Linked DNA regions of Schizosaccharomyces pombe. The protein of the gene in region 2 purifies or fractionates together with the protein of the main gene of each other region. This does not show direct contact. Each region holds a gene or a part of one and is shown on either strand. Other genes may lie near its edges. The genes, in order: npr2, iml1, npr3 and sea2.

Region 1 (4,242 bases), on a different chromosome or scaffold from region 2:
GATTAATTTCAATGCAGCAGATATATATAGTAAATTTACGACGGTCCTTCGCGTTACGTTATGCTTAGTAAAATATAAACATCCTCTTCTGATTTCAAATTTCGTACTCGCTATTATGGATACGTTAAGCTGCAATACAGCCATGCAATGGCATAAACAAGTCGGAAAATGCGCGTTAGCAGTTGAAGTGCTATTATAAACAACGTATTAATAATGCTTGCAAGTATGTACCAAATATACTCTCCATTAAGCTGAGGATCTTTTTTTGTTGCGCCATATTTACGGAATTTTTGAACAATAAAGTAAAATAGAAATAAAATCTACTATTAACATTTATGAATTTATGATCAATGGACATACAGTAGTCGATGTTTACTGATGTATTGATGAAATTCAATTTTCATGGTAATCTTGTAGAATAAATAATTCTTTGTAGTAAAACAAATAAATGACGAAAATAAAGTGTTAAATACTTCTAATTAGGTACGCGATAACCAAAATTTAGATTCTTAAGTTTCAGCGTATAAACAAAAGGCACAATTACAATCGTTTTCCCTAACAGGCCAATTTACAGATAATCAACCATTGTAAATTGCAGTGTTTTGATAATATCTTCAAATTTATTCATAGTCATAAATATGATGCTAATGTATTCCAATCCTATACTTGACAATTTTGAAATTGACAGCAGAACTCGCAATGAAGATAAATTAAAACGACTATAGCTCCGATCATCCGAAAAAATAACAAGACTAATCGCAAGACTATTTTTTTTATTCATACATAAATAAAACAGGCATCACCCAATCCAGCAATCATTTCATTAACAACCTTTGGAGACTTTTTCAATGTGACACACAATTCATCAAAATGGTGCTTTCCATCCAGCAAACCAAGCAGTTTTTTCTCTTCTTCGGTTAAGTTATTCCTCATAGTCCTTCGTTCTAAGTATGGGTATTTATGCACACGATATATTAGCCCTTTTATAGTACCGAACGAGATTAGCCTTCGAACGTCTAAACCTTTGAAAATTTCTTTGTTCTCGTTCATCCAATCCTTAACACGAAGTCCTTGCCTTAAACTACAATACAGTTTGAAAATAGTAGCAAAAGTAACGTTTTTCGCATTAGAGCTGTTAGTTGATACATATGCCGTACATTCTCTTTGAAAATCTGGGTCTTGTAAAAGGTTAGGAGCATTAGTAGTCATAGCATAAATATTATGGAATTGAAAAATATCAGCTATAATTAGACAACCGTAATATAGAAAGTGTTCCATGCATTTTTGACAACTTCTATAGCTAACATTAGCTAATTCAGCAATCCTTTGAACTGAGTTTATGCCATTAATAAAAGGATAAACCTAAAAAATTAGTCAATTTTAATTTTTTTGGAAGAGAGTACCTTTTGAACAGTCATATCCCAATTTTTGTCCATGAGTAAATCCAACTGAGCCGTTAAAATTGGTACATGAAAACTTTTAACAGTAGGAGGAGAAGGAAAAACGGGAAAAAGCTTGATATTAATAGAATTTTGGTCGTCTTAGAAAGTTAGTTAAAGTCCGAATGAAATAATTGCGCATACCTAGCTGTATCATACACTCACAAAAGTTGTTCATGTCCTCCAAAATTTGCTCAATTACGCTGAAAATTACAGGTCTTTTGTTCAAATCAGATATATAATGAATTTGCTTTTCTAAGACCTCTAAATTTCTCGCTAGTCGCTTTACTAGTGGTATATAACATGCTGAATCTTCTTCTTCATGAAAAATCATACACATGTTGAAAATCAAAGCATTTCTCTCATAATTGCTACCTATAATTGATATTGGATGTCCAATGACTTGATAATGATTAGTACAAACAGTAATTGTTTTGTTGCAAAGTTCGCGTTTCGGAATCACATAGTCAGAAATAGTTTCGAATGGTAAAAGACAGTTCTTTCCACCATCAACATTTGTTACCGATCCAGCAGGAGCTTCACAAGCTACTATAGGGCCTTGTAAGGGATCAAATAATGCAAAAAATATTGCCAATAAACGAGGCGGAAAGCTGTCAGCTTGATCCATCCATCCCTCTTCAGAATACTCCATAGGAAAGCTAAAGAATTTAAAAATTTCCGAGTTTTTTATCTAACCTTTAATTTATGAAGCTAAAACTTGTAAGATATTTATTTTAATATTTCGTTATGCCCCTACTGGTGGATGCAAAAGCTTATGTGCAAGTGTCGATTTGGGGACTAACTTCAAAAACCATATAAATCTTTGTACGCTACCCAGAAAAGTAGTTGTGCTAATGAATTTATTATTTACAAACAATATTCAGATTTCTGCATTGATGTAACGGTAAGATGGAAAGTCATATAACACTTGTGTACATTGGGTCAGTAAATTATACAAATTTGATTCTTAACGTCAAAGCTTCCTGACTACAGCCACATTTCGCTACATCATTAATGTTAATAAGGTGATAAAAATCATATCTGTATTAACATTAAGGATTATTTCGTATGGATAACAGATGCTAGCAGCCTCTAGGGTTAAAAGATTTTAAAAAAGTATAAAACTTGATTTTCTTAATCTTTTTGCTTGATAACTGCGCTAGTAATATCCAGTATACACAGTAATCATATAAAAATAGTTAATCTTTGAAACGATAGTTAATAGACTTCAGTCGGATAAATCAAATTTTTACTGAACAGGAAGTTTTAATAAAAGTATTTGTGTTATTTTTACGCTAGAATTCAAATACTAAAACTAAATTTGTGTAAAGCAGTATTATTACAACTTCTGCTTAATTCTTAACGTAAGCTTTCGCTTAACTTAAACCTAAATAAAAAGATCACAAAACCGCTAGATAATTGTAAAACCTTTTATCCATTCACTGAGTCAATTATTTGTCCATATATAAATCTAGAGAGAGAGAATTGTTTTGTTACTATAATTGATTTCCTATCTTTTCAAACATTTGAAGATATAAATCGCTAGTTTCCACAGAAAATTAAAATAATGAGGCACCAAGCCATATTGACTGTATAAAAGATAAATTAAGGAGATACAGTGGAAAATTGTGATTGAGCCAGTGAATTTTTTCGCTGTTAGAAAGCAACGAAAAATACGTCAAATCATTGAAACTTCAATTAGGCATAAGTGCATGAAAGCTCGATAATTGTTCGAGTTGTTTAGCTTAAAACGAATAGATTAAAGTGCGAAAAGAGCGGATGCGTTTAATTTTTAGGATATTTGGTTTCTTTTAATGAGCTTTAGTTCATTCTTACTATATCGTTTTGTAAATAAACAGGTTCTGCCTGGTTTTCTCCTTCCTATTTTTTATAAGCAATATATCCTTAGAGTTTTCATAAACTTGACAACTTAACAAAATTAGTTGCTTGAAGTTTGAAGGGCCTCCGTTAATGGCTTTTTTTTTGTTTTTAATTTGATACGCTTCACTTTCAAGTTGATCATTATAACGTACCTCAGTGAGATAAAGACTGACGAGTCATCCAGCTCTAGCTAAGTATACTCGAGATATTTTATTGCAATATCTAATAATCATTTAAACAAAACTTGAATAATTCTGTTAAAATCGCAATTCATAAAACTGTTATGTAATTGTCATCGCTTATACATTAGCTTGTGATATTTACGTGTTTATCCGAGTGCACTATACATTAAAGGCACTACCACACCCGGCCAAATTGAATGTTTTGGGATTTTAAACATCGAATTGAACAGTCTGTTACAAATTTTAGAGAAACAACTTATGAAGCTTTTAGCCGATGTAAATTATTCTTGAAGACACTTCCAAAAACATCAATTTTTTTTTTTGACAGTAATTATACTAGAATGCCTTTTGATAATATGTTTTGAAGGATATTGTATCGGACAATTCCGTACTGTGGAATTGCTAAAGAATCTTGGAATTGACAGTTTGCCTATTTCATTAACGCTATTTATTTTTGCATGCTTCTTTATATTATATTTATGCGTAGAAGCTTTAAGTTCAAAAAATATAATTGAGGTACGTGAATTTTAAGCTATCCGTTTTTATCAACTAGAAAAAGCAAGCGGGATTTAAGTTTAATTCTTAAACAGTGCTAACATCCTTAGATCATCGGATTGCTATGCATTCATGTCGCATTATTTATTTATTCCATTGTTCAAATTTCAGAATTAGCAGAGATTCAGAAAGTTTTTCTTTCCAAAACACAATCCTCTCTTAATCCTATAACGCTAATTTTGAAT
Region 2 (7,262 bases):
TTCTGGAGAAGTTGAGTTTTCCGGAGATCTGTTATTTTGGGAAACCGGAACGTTTGAATTCCGTTATCATTATGGGGGAAAGCATTTAGTTATGGCAAAAACAGAACCTTTCGTGATCACTGCAACTTCAATGAATACTACCGACGTGGATGAAGTTTCAGCATATTTACTTAAATCCATTAAATTTTGTGACCCTAATATAACACCGCATGATGGTGATGCGTCCTTGTGCGATATTTCTGAAGGTTCTGCTAGAAAACTAACTTCTATCATCAAGTATAGCTTCGGCATAGATTTAAGTTATCGCGTTGTTCAAGTAGATGGCAGCTGTAGCGCTTTATCTCGAAGAATCGTCAATTCCTTAAAAATTTTACAATCTTTTGATGGTCCCAGCGGTGCAAAAGATGATTAAATATTCAACAATTTTATGATTTATTCATTCAACATGAATTTTTGCTCTTACATGACTAGTGAGCTTCAACCGCTTTAGACAAATAATGTTACTGAATATATATACTTTATTTTAATAAATGAAAAGTATAATTTAAATGATCTTTTAATTCAAAAAAAAAACCCCAAAGATAAATATGTATGGATATTTAGGTAACCTGAGATCATCAATTTTAATCATTGATTGAATCCAATTTTGAATAGCTATACCGAACAATTTGTATATTCCAAATGTAGTCTCAAAAAAAATAACCTTTAGTAAATTATTCATAAACGTTGACTATATTAAAGTATATAAAAACTGTAATAACAATCTAATAAGGTAAAAAAAGGTTATGGAAATCGTGTCAAAATGAAATTGATTATAATTATACGTTAACATTAGAGGCATCATCTGCTGAAGCATTTGAAGCATGAGTACTAGCTGAAGAATAAATACTACGACGATCATCACTTGCATGATTCACAATACCATAAAACTGATCCAGCTCATCTTTATTTGAGCAAAATTCCCTAAATTTACGCTCTAATTCTTCAGCAGTCTCTTTCAAATTAGGATTCAAAGTGCTTTTGTTGCTTTTGGTGAAACTCAATTTGCTAACCTTTGAGTTATGAAGGCGATTTGGAAGCCACAAAAATCGTTGATCATCATCAATTTGAACTAGCACAGTTCCTGTTCTGTGTATGTATTGTACGTAACGAAAGTTAGGTTTTCCCCAAGAATAAACTGCGGTAATTGATTTCGGAAACGTACTAGCTGCTTCGGTGTCTAAAATAAAATCAAAGTGCTCAAGAATTTTAACATTCCACCAATTCTTAGAATAGTTCACTGGATCATTTACCAGAGGCGCTCGTTCAGGAATAGGTGGAGGATCTAACGCTAGTGAAATGATCGAGACTTGGTCAAAGGGGTTAAGTTCTCCGACGGCTGCAATTTCATGAATTGGAGCTTCCACTAATTTCAAGCCATAACGCTCTAAAATCCGTGACCAAGATTGAAGGAGCTTCTCGATAACACTTGCTGTAGCCAATAACCATTCAATGCGAATATGATAACATGAGGCAGGATTATGAAGCAAATCGTAATGGACGGTCACTGTTTCGGATTTCCCATTTTTTTTCTCAACGTCTGCATTAAACAAAATGCGTCTCGACAACTCTAACCGAGAAGGACCAGCTTCTGATTCTGTTATTATTTTATTATCTAAATGTTTTTGACCTGAATCTTTTTTTCGACTGAACCAACTACGATATGGCCTGTTTGAAACAGGTTTGATACTGTAATCGGGTGAAATTCGATAAACATAGTAGCCATCTAACAAAGGGTGTTTTTTTAATGCATGATCAAAGAGTCCTAGGCTTAACAACTTATTTCCATATTTAAGAGCTTCTTCTCTAGTATTGATACCAATGAAGGTATTAGCTAACCAGGAAACAAATTCACTCCCAAGAAAACAATTCTCATAAATTCTGTAATGCCATGTAATATCGTCAATTTTAGGACCACCAGGCCCTTGAATTTCTTTAGCGATGGTATGAAGGTCAGCAGAGCAATCTAATCGTTTATTAGGCATAAACAATGATTGTTCATTCCTAGAAGAATCCAATCGCAACGCTTCTAATTCAGAGTGAATATACTGAGCCATTGGTAAAGTTGTAAATTTGATTCCTAGAAGTTCAGCAGGCGAAGTATTCGGTGTTTTATTATTGCTGTCATTCATGGGGTCAATTTTTCCTTTATACAAAAGTTCACTTAGCTTGTAAATACCTTCAACTCTAAATTCTTCATCGCTTAGAGCATCCGCATGATCCAGCAATTGATACTTTTGAAAAACATGTGTTGATGTAGTAGACATTGGTAACAACACAAAACGGGCTCGCCAATATTTAACAGAGTCGGGTAAATAAGTCTCAAATCCACATATTAATTGATCGACGTAATTCCAATTATAATTTGCGGAATCATTGGCAGAAAATGTGATATTAGACTTGACATATTTACATTCATTTTTAGACCAAAAATTATAATCGTATCTCATTTTACCTTGACCAGAAACCTTTTTGACATAACGCTTTACTTCAATATTGTATCCTACTGAATCACATGAAAGCCTGTGGAACTGACTATCGCCTAGAGAAAGGCAAACTGCATCACTGCCTACTGTTAAATGCCCATTTCTTTGATTATTTACAGAGCGAGAGAAATCGGTAATCGTTCCTGCCTTATTGGCCTTGGGATTACCGCTATAAGAGACCGCGGCAGCTGGATTAACCACAATTTGATATCCACGTGATAATCTTTGACAAATCATCTCAGCAAGTAATTCCTGTTGATTCATTTGAGTAAATTCAGGATCGATTCCAATTGTGTATGTGTATTCCTCAAATTTATCATTCAATTCCTCTTCAGAAGGGAAGTAACTAAAAGTTAACGGAAGCGCACCAGGAGTACACATGGAAAGCCAATTAAACTTCCTAACATCCTGCACTTTCATATAGAGATGTTCCCATCTTAAAGAAACGGGATCATTATCAGCAGTTGTCTCTTTCAGTTTAAAAGGATTTTGAATAATCTTCCATGGTGTTTGATATTCATTCTCTAAATTGGTAGAACTTTTCGGAATTACAGTCTTAGCATATTCAGGACTGTTGGGCTTTAAAAACGTTGGGGGCTTTTTTGTCGCTATTGGAGGAGCTTGACTAAAAGCCTTGCAACTATCACTATCTTCATTATTTTTGATCGGAATAGGTCTTTGAATTGTAGATTTGAAACCAAGTGGGTTTGCCGAAGTAGTAACCGTAGCGGGGAGAGCCAAGAAACCTTTTAATAAAGCCGGAAAGGAAGACTTTTTGGTAAGAAGTGAAGACTTATTAGATGAAGACGTTTGTAAGGAAGACGATACATTGCTAGAGTTACCAGCTAATTTCTGTAGCCTTTCGGTGAGGGCAGATTTACCAAACTGTCTTGCCGACTCTTTGCTGGTGCTTTTAAGATCATCAACTTTAGCTCCAAAACTAGATATCGATTCTTTCCCTGAAATTACTGTAGAAAGACTATGCCCATTCATCTCAAGGTAAGAACTTTTGTCCACATTAACGGGTGTATGAGATGAGAAATGGCGAGGAGATGATGAGCTCAAAACATCGTTTGCACTAACAGCAGCCTCACCAGTAAATTGCCGTTCATCGTAATCTTCTTGCACTTCTTCACTGAACACAGACCCTTTCAACAATGGATCAGACTGTAATAATGGAATCGAAATTTTGGCACTTTCGGCTTCCAGTACACCCATCATTTGTAATTCATGCATTTTTGCAGTAGGCTCAAATTGATGTTCTCGCATTAAATTTTCCCAAGGAGAACGTAAGGACCTCATTTCCGTAGTACTGTAAAAACTAATGTTACAGCCAATTGGAAATGTATATAACCATTCGGTATCCTCCTTTAAATTATTCAAAAAGGAAGACACTGAGAAGTTTGAAACTGATGACGTTAAGGAATTTGGTATTACATTAGAAGGGGAAACGGAAGAAGAAATTCTGCTGGTTAGTTGGGATCTTTTTTTGTTTTTCACCGGATTTTTGTATCGAACAATAGGCGTTAGAAATAAAGGAACTTTTCCTAAGGATACGATATCCATACCAACAACGGTATTGAGTAAGCTTTTAGAAGTCAAGTGTAGCATTTTTTCATTTACTTCATATAAACCAGTTCCTGGGGTAACTATTATGATACTAGTACCAGTACGTGATAAATCTCTGTCGATATAATCTGACTGAAATTGAAAGACAGCCATATTAATGACTTCCAAAAAGTTGCCTTCTTGGGATCCTGTCATCCTTCCGCATATATACTCAATTTCTCTCCCATTTTCATCCTTAATTTTCCTAACAATGACATCTTGTCGAAATTTTGCAAGTTCTAGTTTCAAATTTGCTAAAACAGGTTGCCAATCTCTGCTAGAAACATTATCCACCACCACCTTGAAAAAATCTTCGTAAGGACCACCTTCGTTATCAATAGAAGCATTGAAAGAATTTTGTGGATAAATACTACTTCCTTTTTCACTATTTTTTTGAGACCTTGGTTGCCAAACACACATAGGCCCATGGTGGCTGTACTCGACACGAGTAAACAAAATTATAGAAACCAAATGATGAGTTCCTAAGTCTCTCCAAAAAGAAAAAAGATCAGGAAGAAAACCATCTATTGCTTTGTTATAATTGAGCTCTCCATCTTCTTCAAAGTGCCACATCTCTTCACTCATTTGAATAAAAATTAGAAATCTGGCACTTTCAGACCGAAAAATTGGCTTAGTGCGTTCTGAAATGTACGCTGAATGACATTTTTTTCCTTTTCTCCATATACATCTAATTTCTCCAGGCACATCTCCTATAAAGGAAACACGCTGTTTTAGATAAACGCATTTACCGCATAATTCTCTAAAAAGCTTCCACATATCGCTTCTAGATATAAATTGGTCCCGAAAAAAAATTACCACATGTTCGGCTTCTAAATTAGTTTTGTCTTCACAAATTTTGACAACCACCGGTTCACGATTTTTTATATTGAGCAAAGAGCTTATGTGAGATACAACTGAAAGTTGCAGATTCGGATGTCGCCTCTTTAAATCATCTGTTAAAGGGGAGGGCATCAAATATACTGGTTCTTTTTCACGTTTAGCATGTAGTTTCCCTGTGCTTGAGTGATTATGCTGTAAAGCGATTTCATCACCATTTTGGGCCCTTATTTCAAAAATATCACCAGGTTTAGCAGAAGGTACTAAATCATAATTTAAGACTGCATCGTTTGGAAACAATGATGATTCGTGCGTCCACAGGTTCAAGGTAATAGCCATTTCATGAATTGAACAACCTACGCCATTAAGGCAGTAATCAAAAAATTAAATACAAGAATTGTATCAAAAAAAGAAGTAAATAATCTCTTTACACAACTTTATACGTTTGATTTTGATTAGGCGGATGTTGGGGTAGAGCTGCAAAAATCCAGTATAACACCAAGATAAATTGCACTAGTAAACACAGGTTACTCTTATCATAAAATCAAATAGTAAATGTTGCATTTATAAAGGTAGAGCATAATTGTGTATATTATATGACTCATGACTAAATATTTAATTTAAGGCAGAATGTATACTACTTGCACGAATACTTGATTGTCTAAGACACAATCATTAATATACCAGCAAGCACTTCGTTATCTTTTTTTTTTTTTTTTTTGTGATACTGTATTACTTAGAATTTATTTGAAAAAAATGTTTCTATCATATCGAATGTTTAAGATGTAGGTGTTCTTACGTTTATACCTCGTATATCATTGACTTTATTCTATTGACTTCAATATATGATATTAGATTACAATTCAGTGATTGAAACAGAGGCTGAATTCCAATTGTTTATTTCATTTTTTGGCTAACGGATTTGTTGAATTGGGGTGCAGTCTAAACTACAAAGACTCAAACCAGCTGACTCAATAATGTAATATTAAATTTTCAGCATTAAGCTTAAAAAATGATATTCATCACCCCAGTTTCTGAATTCAGGTTTGAAGTTCGATCAAATGAGGATTAATGTTTGAAAACCGAGCATTTTGCAATCTACTTTAAATTACCTTCAGAAAGCGACTAAACAATCTTGTGCGTTGAAAGTTAGCTTAAAAAAGTTACAATTAAAATTTAACTTAATTACTTTTTAAATTTATGATGTCCTAAACAAATCAATATTGCTAAAATAACCAAATTCCATAAACAAGAATTAAATAAGTGCAGAATTAAAAATGAGAGACCAATAAGAAGAGTTAAGGGGATAATCTTTAGTACAAGTTGACCTATATACATGATATTGGGGAAGTGAAGTAGAGCAATGAATTTTGAATAATCATAAAAAGTAGTCGGCAATGGGTCGTTTTGTTGGAATGCCAGATCTTTCTTGAGAGGCAGTACCAAAAATCTTAAAGGATTGCGTTTGGTTTTCATCAAGTTGTAATATAGAAGCAACATTTCCACATCTGTAACAGTAATTGGGTGCACTCCAAACAGTAACCACGCTTCCTTTATCCTTTTCTGGAATGGTTATTATGTCTCCAGGTGCCGGAGAATCATCAACAGGTGAGGCAGAATCTGAATCCAGCTCAGAGTCCTCTTCATTTGTAAATTTGGGATACTGTTTATCTTTATCGGAAAAATGGATTTTGTAACCCTCCATAACCAATTGATGAGCACGAGCAATGAATGAAAGGTCATTAGCGCGATTAAAAACTTCAGAAACGTCGGCACCAAACAAAAATCCAGCACCTCTGGGAGATAAACCCCATCCACTAATATCTTCTGGATCTGACCAAAGTAGATCACACATTGCTCCTTCATGCGGAACTTCTTGTTTTCGATCCAACAGTCGAATCTTCATAAAAAGCGTTAAAAGTTTAGTTCAAATTTTCGGAATTAATAACATACCTGATCGATACTGCTGATGCTTGGTGAAAGTCCACCGTGCACACAAAAAACCTTTCCATCCACCAAAGCACCAAGCGAAAGATAATCAAATATTTCACAACAATATCGCCATACATTGGCAGAACCATATTTCCTTACACATTCGTCATAAAATCCATAAACTTGTGTTATTTGTCGTGATTCATGATTTCCCCGGATAAGGGTCATCTCTTTCGGATATTTACATTTTAAAGTCAATAACAGGAGAAATGTTTCTACAGAGTAAAACCCTCTATCAACAAAATCCCCTAGAAATAAATATTTTGTACCTGGACATGACCCACCAATTCGAAAAAGCTC
Region 3 (4,503 bases), 360 kb from region 2:
TTTTAGCAGGATTATTTTGGGTATTTTTTTTTTTTTTTGAAGGGAAGATTATATTTTGCTAACTGAATTTTAGGTGATGGGGTTTTCAGCAATATTTGGCAACGGTATCACTCAAAACGTAATCTGGATGTTAAGTGACAGAAAGGTGGTATCTAAAAACCATACTTTAAACCACTGTAGCTCAAAACGCGTAGTTTGGTTATACACTATTTTGCAATTAATAGGTTTTGGTGCTACCTTTGCAATTACTCAGGTTGATAAAGCATCCATTGGTTTCCCTATTATTATTTTATTACTGATTCCATTTAGGACTTATTGTATGCCTAAATGGTTCCTTGAAGAAGATCTTGAAATTTTAGACGAAAATGTGGGAATTATTGCTTATCAAAAAGTATAATCTACTTTTTTTAAAGATGGGGTCTTCTATAAAATATAAAAAAAGCTTGATGGAATAGGTTGTATAATTAGGTATTTGTCATGACTTGATTTCAAAGACGTTTTCTAATAATTAATTTACTAATATCGTACAATGGTAATATATTTGGTGTGTTAAATTTTGATTAAATATTAATAAGCTAGTCCAAGCTATACTTTCGTAGTTTCACCAAGAATGCCATCGAAGGATGTAATCATTATACTCATTAAGAATATTTCGCATTAGTTTCCTTGGTAAGCCTTCGGCAACCCATATAGTTTGTAAAGCAAACCTACCATTTAAATATTTGACAATTGACGTAAACAATGGAGCCATTTCTGGTCCCCTCTCATAAGCTATAATTTGAATCCATTTCTGTTCAAGCAAAGAGGCAGAGTGCGGATCAATGATAATAGACTCTTTGCCATTATCTTGTTCAAGTTGCTTTCTAAGCTGCATGTCATTTTTAGAAGACTCATCAGATTCTATTAGTGCAATCGCTTTTTTCTTAATTTCTTCTGGAACGAGAATATACATATAGATATTCTGTTCATAAACCCAATTTCTTCGACACAGCCAAGCAAGCATTTCCAAATAAACTAACTCATGATCTTTCGATGGAATAATGGAGGCAAATGGTCGCGGTTTAAACGACAAAATAGCTAAAAATGTTGACAGTGAGGGAAGGCTCGGAAATTCCTTTTTAAAAAGCTTTGACTCCTCCTCCAAATTAAACAGATTAGCAGTTGGGGATGTAACATAAGTATTCCGGATTAACAAAGGAGGAATAGCGATAGCCTTTCTCCAATGAATAAGGTGTTTTGCTAGAATAAAGCATTCTGATACTGATATTCCTAGACGATTAGCGATATCTGTGAACCTGAAATATTGTAAGTTAGTATTTAATAGCAATAATAAATTTTGTTTAGACTTGACAAAACTTACGTTAAGTTAGGTTTTACTATGGCAATGAAAGAAGAAAGAAGAGAATTTTGTAAAAGAGGAACACGTTTCATTATAGTGTCTGTATCCTTTAAGAGCAACAAAGTCCAATAGGGGGCAACGAAAGGTTCAATAGAGGAAGGATGTTCTTCAGAGAAGATGGTTTGAGATGCTAAAATAGTTGATGGTCTAACCTGCAGTTCGTAATTTTCAAGTGTGTTGGTGGAAACCGACATAGGCCAGAGTAAGCTTAAGTTAATCGATTGATTTATCTCTAAATAAGCCGTATGCATGTTAATTAAAGCCTCATATGTAGTAGCAAGAACCGAAGCAAGATTTGAGTGATGAGGGATTTGAGCGGCATACACATCGAATGGGACGTTTTGGCTTGAATATTTTTCAGTCAGTTTTAAGATGTGTATACACTCATTTTCAACATAATTCCGTTTTGCTTGTTCATATTTAAGTCCAGTAACTAACTTGACTACTATATGATCATACATCGTGTTTACAGTAGGGCGATATACGGTAGCTGTAGGCACATTTAATACAAAGACGACATGAAATAAAGACATTGAAGATCTCGATTTTGATGAAGATGATTTTACTTCAAAACTTCCTGTCGAAGGGTGTGAAGATTCGGGCTTTGATACCAAATGGCTCGAAGAAGCATTAGACTCAACAGTAGTTCGTGGTTTCCTTCGTTTAGCCCACTCACCGTTCGGACCAATATGAACAGGACATCCCAAAAAAGTAAGACCATCCACCCAAATTTCAAATTTTTGATTGCAAAGTTCAATACGAGGACTTAGCATATTTGCGAGAAAGCCTTTTTCATAACCAAGTACATGTGTATCGTCAGCTACTTCAGTAAACCTATTATTCTCATCATCATCGCTGTCATCAAGGTCGAGCATCCCGATTGCAGACTCCGCTGAATCATTATTATGATGAGTGGCTTGTAGACGTACTTGAGGTTGTAGCGGCCAGTGAAAGACGAAATTAGCTCCTGATGTTGTTTTTTCAACAAGGAAAATGGCTACTAATCGAGGAGTTAAGCGTACCATTTTGGCGTTTTAAAACAAAGTATAAATGTGTATGTTCGATAATTGAAGTACATATGTGTGTTTTTTAATATATTTTTCACAACAGAAAACCAAATATCACCTTAAACATTATACCTCAAGGGGGTGGTATCGTTTTCTGGTAATTTGCGTGTAGTACGAAAGATTTGTGAGCGATATGCATCTGGCAGCTCGGTGTTTTAATCGCCTAGTACAAAACTAATAAGATCTAACATGAATAGTTAAACTGAATGTTAACTAATTATTGACATCTTGAGATATGAGTTCACGGCTTTGTAAATTAATGTGTGAATTGAAAGTAAAAGCATCGCTATGCAAAATTTCTAATGTGCGTAAAACCTTAGCAACTTTAATAGCTCCAATTCAATTCTCAAGAGTTTCTGATTTAAGTTATAAAAATGAATTGACTAATTTATATACAATGTTTTGGGTTATTTACATTTCAGTCACATGTGCATTTGCACATATGCTGCTGGACTTACTGTTAATGTAGTATATTCATACCGCGAAGAAAATACCTGAATCATTTAAAATGACCGTGTAATTGATATCTAACTGTTGAAAGCATCGGAGGCCCCAATGTTCTACAACAAATCTCACCTTGCTTTGACCTCCACCAAATCTGTATTCCTTAACAATTCGTATGAGTGATAAGGAATGTACTGTTTTTGTACTTGACTTGGGCAAAGATATGGGGACCTGTCACCATGGCAGGTCTCATTCTGATCTCGAATGGACTTTGTCGTATTTTCACGACGAATTGTCTCATAAGGTATTTTGCTCAACATTATCGACACCCTATTGACACATACTCAGTTTTTAGCAAATAGGAAGACAGACGTAGTTGGAATCGTTGGTTACAAATGCGATGGTATTCTATTGTAATGTTTTAAAGGTACACTACTTCTAACTTTTACGGTGTTTAGATACGAAAAATGATTTAGCTGAGCAGGAAGCCTATTGGAATATCAGTGTTTTGTATCCTATACAAACGTAAGCTTTCTCTTAAATGCTCCATTAACTTCTTAACTAGTGCCTTATTTTCAAAGCTACAATCCGTTTCTCAAACGTTAAAACCAAGCAATACTATGCAAGGCGATCTGATATCTGCAATAGTTGTGTCCTTTGATTTGATGGCTCGGCATTGTAAAAAGAACAAATGGAAGAAGAAGATGATAGTGCTTACGGCAGCTAGGGGGATTATCGACTTTAGTGATTACATTGGAATTGCCGAACAACTACTGCAGCATGATGTTTTTCTAGGTGTTTATGGAGTTGATTTTGATCAAGAAGATATTAATTATTCTGAGCCTTTAAAGGAATCTCAGAAAAAGGAAAACGAAGTTCGAATTCAAGAGTTTGTTGAGAGTTGTCATGGTCAGTACTGCACATTTCAACAGATTTATAACAACATCGGTAAACCTTGGGTTCGTAAAGTGAGACCTGTCGCAATCTTTAGAGGTACATTTAGTATTGGTAATAGAGACAGCAAAGATACGTCTATAAGCATACAGGTTGAAAGATATCCTAGAACTCGTTTAACTAAACCGCCAACATCATCTGCTTTTTATGAAAACGATATGTCTAAAAATTATGAATGTCTTAATATCGAAAATTCAAATGTGGAAAACAAAAGTATGGAATCTGATGCAGTGTCTACTGTTCGATCGTACATGGTTCGTGATCCAAAAACAAACGATTCTTTTGAGGTTAAAAGAGAAGACTTGGAAAGCGGTTATAGTTATGGTAGGACAATCGTCCCGATCAGCCGATCAGATGAAGACGTATTGGCTTTAGATACAATACCCGGTTATGAAATCCTTGGATTTATTCCTAAATCTAGTCTTCCAATTTATTATACCATTAGTGATACTAATATAATCGTTCCAAAAGATGACTTCGAAAGCAAATTAAATTTTTCTGCCTTTGTTCAATCCCTTGAACGTGAACACCGATATGCGCTCGCAAGGTTTGTTTCTAAAGATAAGGGCGTACCAGTTTTGCTGGTCTTGATGCCTTACGTGGAGTTTAAAAGACATTACTTGGTTGATATACAACTTC
Region 4 (7,743 bases), on a different chromosome or scaffold from region 2:
AGCTACTGGATTTCCTTCATGGGAAGGTCTTTTTTGGGAAAAAGCATCTGGTTTTGAAGAATCCATGAAGTTCAAAAAGCTTACTAATGCTCAGCGTTCAGGTTTAAATCAAATCCCTAACCGTAGATTTACGCTTTGGTGGAGTCCCACTATCAATCGTGCTAACGTTTATGTCGGATTTCAAGTACAACTGGATTTGACTGGAATCATGATGCATGGCAAAATTCCAACCCTGAAGATTTCACTCATTCAAATTTTTCGTTCTCATTTATGGCAAAAAATTCATGAATCTGTTGTTTGGGATTTGTGTCAAGTGCTTGACCAAGAATTAGAGTCATTGCAAATTGAAACAGTCCAAAAAGAAACTATCCATCCTCGTAAAAGTTATAAAATGAATAGTTCTTGTGCAGATATCCTCCTTTTGGCTGCCTATAAATGGAACGTATCAAGGCCATCCTTATTGAACGATAATCGCGATGTGCTTGACAACACTACCACCAACAAATATTGGATTGATGTACAACTTCGATTTGGAGATTATGATTCTCATGATATTGAACGTTATACTAGAGCTAAATTTTTGGATTATAGCACTGATGCTCAAAGCATGTATCCTTCACCGACCGGTGTCTTAATCGGCATTGATCTTTGTTACAATATGCATAGTGCATATGGTAACTGGATTCCTGGTATGAAACCATTAATTCAACAGAGCATGAACAAGATCATGAAAGCCAATCCAGCCTTATATGTGTTGCGTGAACGCATACGAAAAGGTCTTCAATTATATGCTTCTGAACCCCAAGAGCAGTATTTGTCCTCCTCAAATTATGCTGAACTCTTTAGTAATCAAATTCAATTATTCGTTGATGATACTAATGTTTATCGGGTTACCATTCATAAAACATTTGAAGGTAATTTGACTACGAAACCCATTAATGGTGCTATTTTTATATTCAATCCGAGAACTGGTCAATTGTTCTTAAAAGTTATTCATACGTCAGTTTGGGCGGGACAAAAACGATTGGGACAATTGGCGAAATGGAAGACTGCTGAAGAAGTTGCTGCTTTGATTCGTTCTCTGCCTGTTGAAGAACAACCTCGACAGATTATAGTAACTCGAAAGGGCATGTTGGATCCATTAGAAGTTCATCTTTTGGACTTTCCTAATATAACCATTAAGGGTAGTGAATTACAGCTTCCTTTCCAAGCGATTATTAAACTTGATAAAATCAATGATTTGATTTTACGTGCCACCGAACCGCAAATGGTACTTTTCAATTTATATGATGACTGGCTTCAATCGGTATCATCGTATACAGCTTTTTCACGCTTGATACTTATCTTGCGCGCATTGAATGTCAATACTGAGAAAACGAAGCTAATTCTTAGACCAGACAAGTCTATAATTACAAAAGAGAATCACGTGTGGCCCAACCTGGATGATCAACAATGGCTTGATGTTGAACCGAAACTTAGAGATTTGATCCTTGCTGATTATGCTAAGAAAAACAATATTAACGTTGCTAGTCTTACGAACTCGGAAGTGCGAGATATTATTCTCGGTATGACAATAACGGCTCCTTCTCTTCAACGTCAACAGATAGCTGAAATAGAAAAGCAAGGCCGTGAGAATGCCCAAGTTACGGCTGTCACCACAAAAACTACTAACGTGCATGGTGATGAAATGGTGGTTACTACAACATCTGCGTATGAAAATGAAAAGTTTTCTAGTAAAACAGAATGGAGAAATCGTGCCATATCATCTATCAGTTTACCCCTTCGTACAAAAAACATTTATGTTAACTCTGATAATATCAGCGAAACTTTTCCTTATACATACATTCTTCCTCAAAATCTGCTTCGTAAGTTTGTTACGATATCCGATTTAAGGACACAGGTTGCCGGATATATGTATGGTAAAAGTCCGTCAGACAACCCTCAAATTAAGGAAATTCGTTGTATTGCACTTGTACCACAGCTTGGCAGTATAAGAAATGTGCAGCTTCCTTCTAAACTGCCTCATGATCTTCAGCCTTCTATATTAGAAGACCTTGAGCCCCTTGGTTGGATACACACTCAAAGTTCTGAACTTCCCTATTTATCATCTGTCGATGTAACTACACATGCAAAAATTTTATCTTCTCATCCTGAATGGGATACCAAAGCTGTAACTTTGACAGTGAGCTACATTCCTGGTTCGATATCCTTAGCTGCATATACTGTGTCAAAGGAAGGAATTGAGTGGGGATCAAAAAACATGGATATCAACAGTGATGAAGCTATCGGGTATGAACCTTCTATGGCTGAAAAATGTCAGCTGCTATTGTCCGATAGAATTCAAGGATTTTTCTTGGTACCAGAAGAGGGCGTATGGAATTATAATTTCAATGGTGCAAGCTTCAGTCCTAAAATGACGTACAGTTTAAAACTTGATGTCCCTCTGCCATTCTTTGCTTTAGAGCATAGACCTACTCATGTAATAAGCTATACTGAACTGGAGACGAATGACAGATTAGAGGAAGATATGCCAGATGCATTTGCATGAATGAGGAGCTATTTATTTTCGTAACTGGATTTTGGGCAATTAATGTATATTTTGATTTTTGCTAATTTGAGTGCTTTATGACATCTTGCTTTAGTTAAATGGAATTTAGTGAAAAAGCTAGAAAAATGGGTTTTTAAAATATCCCACATTATCATTATTAGTTTATAGTAATACAAATTTTTCATCAAGTACATATGCGTTAGATTATAGTTTTTTAAATCAGAGCACGTTTATCTAGCAGTTTGACACCGCAGCCGGGAACTGGACATACTGGCAATGCATCGTCTGTATTATCAAAATACCAAGAACGTAGACAGCTTTCATGACCGATGTGGCCACAAACGGGAGGATAAACGAGCACGCCTCTTAACGGTAGCTCACAATAAACACATTTTTTGAGACTAGTAACGGTCTTTGCATTTTCTTTACCTTTTTCGGATTGCTCGTTACCGGTTGCTTTTTTGTTTTCCATTTCAAAAATCAAATCTCTACTACTTGAATGAATGTACTTGAGATTTTTTGAACCAGACATGTTTATAAGGAGAGTAGCTTCACTGAACATTCCGAATCTCCTTAACAAATCAACATAACTTTCAAGTAAATCGTCTAATTGAATCCGTGGTAAATCTATAGTTAGGTATGAAAAAACTGAACAAACGCAGGCTGCCGTTTGGACATCTCCTCGAGATATACAGTCGCTTATAATCGATGTAACAACATAAGGAAGTTCAATAGGAGGTAGATCATCGATAGGAATTTCAGAATCAGTATCTCCATGTAATGATAACTGGTCTAAAAATATAGATGCTCGACGTGAAGAATTACCAGCACTCAATACGGCTTCTCTCGATTTGATTGAAGCAGATGTAACAGAACTTCTGTGGAATGAATTGAACATTTCGTTATGTGACGTACCAGAATAATTTGATGCTGCAGAATCTAGTAAATAGGATGAATTGATGCTTGCCCGGCTATCAGTTGAAAAATTATTAACCGGTGCTTGTCCTTTCTTTAATACGATCGGATTTTCTAAATCATGCCATTGCGATTGCTTATTAAGGACGGCTTTATCGAGATTGTCCTCGGATTCGATAGATGAATTAGAGGATTCTGAAGGAGTAGATGCTTCCCGTGGTTCAAAAAAATCATTTAATGATAAATTATCATGAGCGGGGGTTGAGGACGTTGAAATTTGCGTTAAATTTTTTAAATTTCGACCTTTCTCATCATCAGCCATAGAATTGTTAGCAGAAACAAAAGGAATATTTATTAATTCACTAATTCCTTTATCAGAATTGTTAAGTACCCCTAGTGAAAAATACAAAGCATCCCAAATTTGATAAGCAAATTCAGCTCCAACATTTCGTGCAAAAAATGCGTTCTCTTTACAAGCAGAAGAGATATCTCCTGATATGCGATAATTTTTGGCTAAATAGCAAAATTGAGCAACATCTTCAGAGCGATATGCAAGGATCCCTAGTTCCTGAGGAATGCCAACAAAATTGTGAGGCACAAAAGGAACAGGATTACTTGTGGACCCATCAGAATTTTGAGAGGCATATAAAGCGGACTTTAAAGAGCTGATATTGCTCTCAAAAGATGCGACACGATTTAACGACGACAATCTTTGATTAGAAATAGGATTTGAAGAGAACACAAGGCTATTTTTAGTTGACCATGAACTAGTTGCACGTGGAAGCATATCAATACAATTAAAGGCATTTTCAACTCTCGTCTGAGAAAAAATTCCATCTTTACTACAAGACCAGAGTAGCTCTGTAGAAGCCCAATGCATCGTTGAAACAATACTATCATGACAACTGACGGTTCTGTATGGGATATAAGGCCTAGTAATATCCCAAACATTTATTGCGGTATCACCTACAAGAGAAGAGCTTGCAAGTTGATTAGAACCTCTCGATTGCTGATTAGCCGGTCGCCAACGAACACAATTGAGGGGACTGACATTATTGATAGTTATAAGGGACTTTTTTTTGTTGCTTGTGGAATCCCAAATACGAATAGTCTTATCTCTCCCGCATGACGCTAAAAAAACACCATTAGGACTATAATTAACACACAAAACAACACCATTATGTGCAGCTAATTTTAAAAAAGGAAGTTTTGGAAACCGGATATCCCATTTTTGCAAGATCCCACTGTCATAAGCGGCAACGAACTCATTTGGCTCAGAAGGGGAGAATACGACGTCTCGAGCAGCTTCAGAATTTCCACGAAAAGTGATTGTTGATGAGCTTTCCTTGTAATCCCAAAGCTTAATTAACCCATCCTGAGAGGCTGTTAAAACGTAAGACGGGTGAAATGAAGAGATATCCAATTTATGTACGGCTCGAGAATGCTCATTAAAGTCATAGAGAAGGGCTTCTAAATTAACATCCCATACATTGAGATTACCAAGCGGTGAACATGTAAAAATTAAATTTGAAGCAAAACTACTACCCCACTTTACATCATTGCAAGAGATGTGCTTTGTTTGTGTTGATTTTTGTAGAAGGTCAGAGATGCAAACAGGAGGCTTTGAAGAGTTTGGATTAACAGCTAGAACTTTTAGAAGCTCTCGGCCTGCTACACCCACTTTTGTACGGCTTTTATTTACCGAAATAGCACTGATGGAGGCCTTTACATCAACAACCCAGTCTTGGTAACTAACAAGTCCTTTGGATGACTTTACAGATGTGCTAGCAAGTTGGGCATAAGTAGGTCGCTGAAGGACGTTTGAGTTTCGTGAAGGCATTTACGAATTTGAAAACAAAATGAAGCTGGTAGAGTAGCAGCTGATGCCTTCTAAAATGATTTAGGAAATTTGCATACAGAAAAGGAAACAAGTTCTTAAATATCGGACAGGAAGTCAAAGAAATTGCTGAAGTGAAATGCAAGTATGGTGACACTCACCGTACATTGGTAAAATTAACGTTGCAAGATCGTTCAATAGTAAAAGTCAGAAAAAAGTAGACTATTCTTTATCAAACTATTTGTTTTGATACATTAACCAAAAAGATAAAGTAGAAAAGTAGAGGAGCAACTAACAGTAAGAAAAGTTTCTGCTAATGTAAATATCAAGTCCAATGTTAGTGAACAAATAAGAGCTTTCGAATTTTCAATTATTGAGGAAATTCAATCAGAACAATTACACATCGGAAGTTTTCAAAAGAATAAAAGTTCAAATATAATTTATTTTTACGAAGTTCAGTTGCTTATTGCTTCTAGTAAGTTTGGTTTTGTGAATTTACTTCTGAATCTCGCTATGAATCAGCAATATTGCATCCTGTAACGCTATACTGCATTCCTGTAGAGTTCATTATATAGGTTTCACATTTTACTATGGCATTTGTCGCGTATACATGACTTATGATTTAAAATTTCGTTTACGCTGATTTACAACATTTAAAGAATGGTACTGTTGAGCTTATCTTTCAATGCTTCTTTCGTAGAGTTATAGTAGCTACAATATTAAATATGAAGATAACATGTTATATATGACGATATAAGTAAGCAAAGCCGGTCAGTCCAATGTCAGTTGCACAGTGTCAATCGAAAAAGCGGTTTGCAGTACCTTGTCGGTTTGTATTTTGTAATATAATGATGCTTTCGAAATTAAATAAACAAGTCTTCATTCCATAAACGAATTGTGAAGCAAAGTAATTCGACTCTACTTTATATAGTACTAATTAGTAAGAACAAATCATCAGTTTACCGTACAAGAGTTAGTTTGCTGATAAAGAGTTTACGCAGTCTACTGTACCTTAAACTCAGATACGAATTGCGTAGCTGGAGTTACGCTAAATGATCTATTAAGTCCAGTTGCTACACATTGAATTAAGATGGCACTCGTCAGGCTTATACGAAGCCGCTTTTCACTAACCACCTCTGAAAAACCAAACTGTCATTGGGCGTTCCGTGATATAATTTCTTGGAACTTTTCTTTATTTTTATTTAAATTTTCGTGAGAAATGACGTCTCAACTTGAAAAAGAAGCAAGAGAATGGATCGAAGAAACTTTGCATACGAAATTGAATGCTCAGTTAGACTTACTGGATCAATTACAATCCGGGGTGATTCTTTGCAGAATTTGCAAAGAAGCTTTAGGCGCTAACATTCGATACAAAGAATCTAACATGCCTTTTGTCCAAATGGAAAACATATCTGCCTTCATTAACTATGCACAGCAAGTTGTACATGTTCCTTCACAAGATATGTTTCAAACTTCTGATTTATTTGAGCGGAGAAATGATGAACAGGTTTTAAGAAGTATTCACTCCTTTTCGCGCTATGCCGCGAAAATGTTTCCCGGCAAAGTTCGTGGTTTGGGTCCTAAATTGGCAGAGAAGAAGCCTCGTGTTTTCTCAGCACAGCAGCAGCGTGAGTTTCGAGAAGGCGTAAATAGTCTTCAGTATGGAAGCTTTGATATGCCGACACAGGGAACCGAGAAGATTGCATTTTCTAGACGCAGGGACCCGACCGGAAATATGTATTAGTCTTGTGTAGGGAAAGAGATTGAAGATTGTATAACTTTATATCTTCGCTTCTTGTACTTTTTGATAACTTATTTATTTTCATTCATTCGTAAAATCTGCCGAATCCATAATAGGAGTGAAACGTGAGGTCTTGTAAAAGATGTGTATAAATATAGAAGCTTAAGTTTTGCTTTAAATATTCATAATGATATGTTTTTTTTACGACACTAAAACATAAATTGAATTATAGTTTGATTCGTAGTTTGAAAACACATTTAAAATCTTATGTTTGGTGCTGTATTGCTAGATTTCTCGTCGTATCAAATGACTTAAAAAAGCAATACGACAATTCATTGTTTCATGAGCGTTTCCTTACAAAGCTGCAGAGAAAAAAAAAAATGTTGCAAAAATTAGTTATGGAAGTATCAGTGATTAATAAAAATGCACACTTTATTTATTTATTTTGTTATTTTTGTATTCAATTTCTTAAATGATAAGCAGGTCGGTAAACGTATTTACAAATAGTTTTGTGAGATATTATAAAAAAAAAATGTATGTACATTGAAAATTGCAGAAATACTAGAGATGTTGTTAAAATTGTTTGCTTAAAATTTACTCAAGTCAGAAATTAAATAAAAATTTTAAAGCTTGTATACAAAAGAAAATGCTGGTAGACCAGTTTTGCAAGAAACAAAGTAGATAATAAAATTGCATGTATTG

What was found.
Region 1: the proteins of iml1 (region 2) and npr2 purify together in Schizosaccharomyces pombe (affinity purification with western blotting; one study listed by BioGRID). This does not show direct contact.
Region 3: the proteins of iml1 (region 2) and npr3 purify together in Schizosaccharomyces pombe (affinity purification with western blotting; one study listed by BioGRID). This does not show direct contact.
Region 4: the proteins of iml1 (region 2) and sea2 purify together in Schizosaccharomyces pombe (affinity purification with western blotting, with the first as the bait; one study listed by BioGRID). This does not show direct contact.

The regions. Positions count from the first base shown.
Region 1 is NC_003424.3:2,495,336-2,499,577, forward strand, and holds npr2 (Npr2/3 complex subunit Npr2), read right to left. Parts: upstream 2,228-4,242; 5' UTR 2,092-2,227; coding exon 1,584-2,091; intron 1,541-1,583; coding exon 1,404-1,540; intron 1,363-1,403; coding exon 778-1,362; 3' UTR 509-777; downstream 1-508.
Region 2 is NC_003423.3:3,948,367-3,955,628, forward strand, and holds iml1 (GATOR1-SEACIT GTPase activating complex subunit Iml1), read right to left. Parts: upstream 5,444-7,262; 5' UTR 5,310-5,443; coding exon 819-5,309; 3' UTR 544-818; downstream 1-543. Other genes in the region: phosphatidylethanolamine N-methyltransferase Cho2, read left to right, coding at 1-412; pph3 (serine/threonine protein phosphatase), read right to left, coding at 6,349-6,870, 6,924-7,262.
Region 3 is NC_003423.3:4,303,950-4,308,452, reverse strand, and holds npr3 (Npr2/3 complex subunit Npr3), read right to left. Parts: upstream 2,593-4,503; 5' UTR 2,425-2,592; coding exon 1,361-2,424; intron 1,296-1,360; coding exon 602-1,295; 3' UTR 526-601; downstream 1-525. Other genes in the region: bor1 (HC03 family inorganic anion exchanger), read left to right, coding at 1-20, 74-397; Ku domain protein Pku80 , read left to right, coding at 3,086-3,214, 3,259-3,313, 3,369-3,435, 3,476-4,503.
Region 4 is NC_003424.3:2,655,282-2,663,024, forward strand, and holds sea2 (SEACAT complex subunit Sea2), read right to left. Parts: upstream 5,775-7,743; 5' UTR 5,304-5,774; coding exon 2,763-5,303; 3' UTR 2,549-2,762; downstream 1-2,548. Other genes in the region: U5 snRNP complex subunit Spp42, read left to right, coding at 1-2,548; SM22/transgelin-like actin-modulating protein Stg1, read left to right, coding at 6,520-7,044.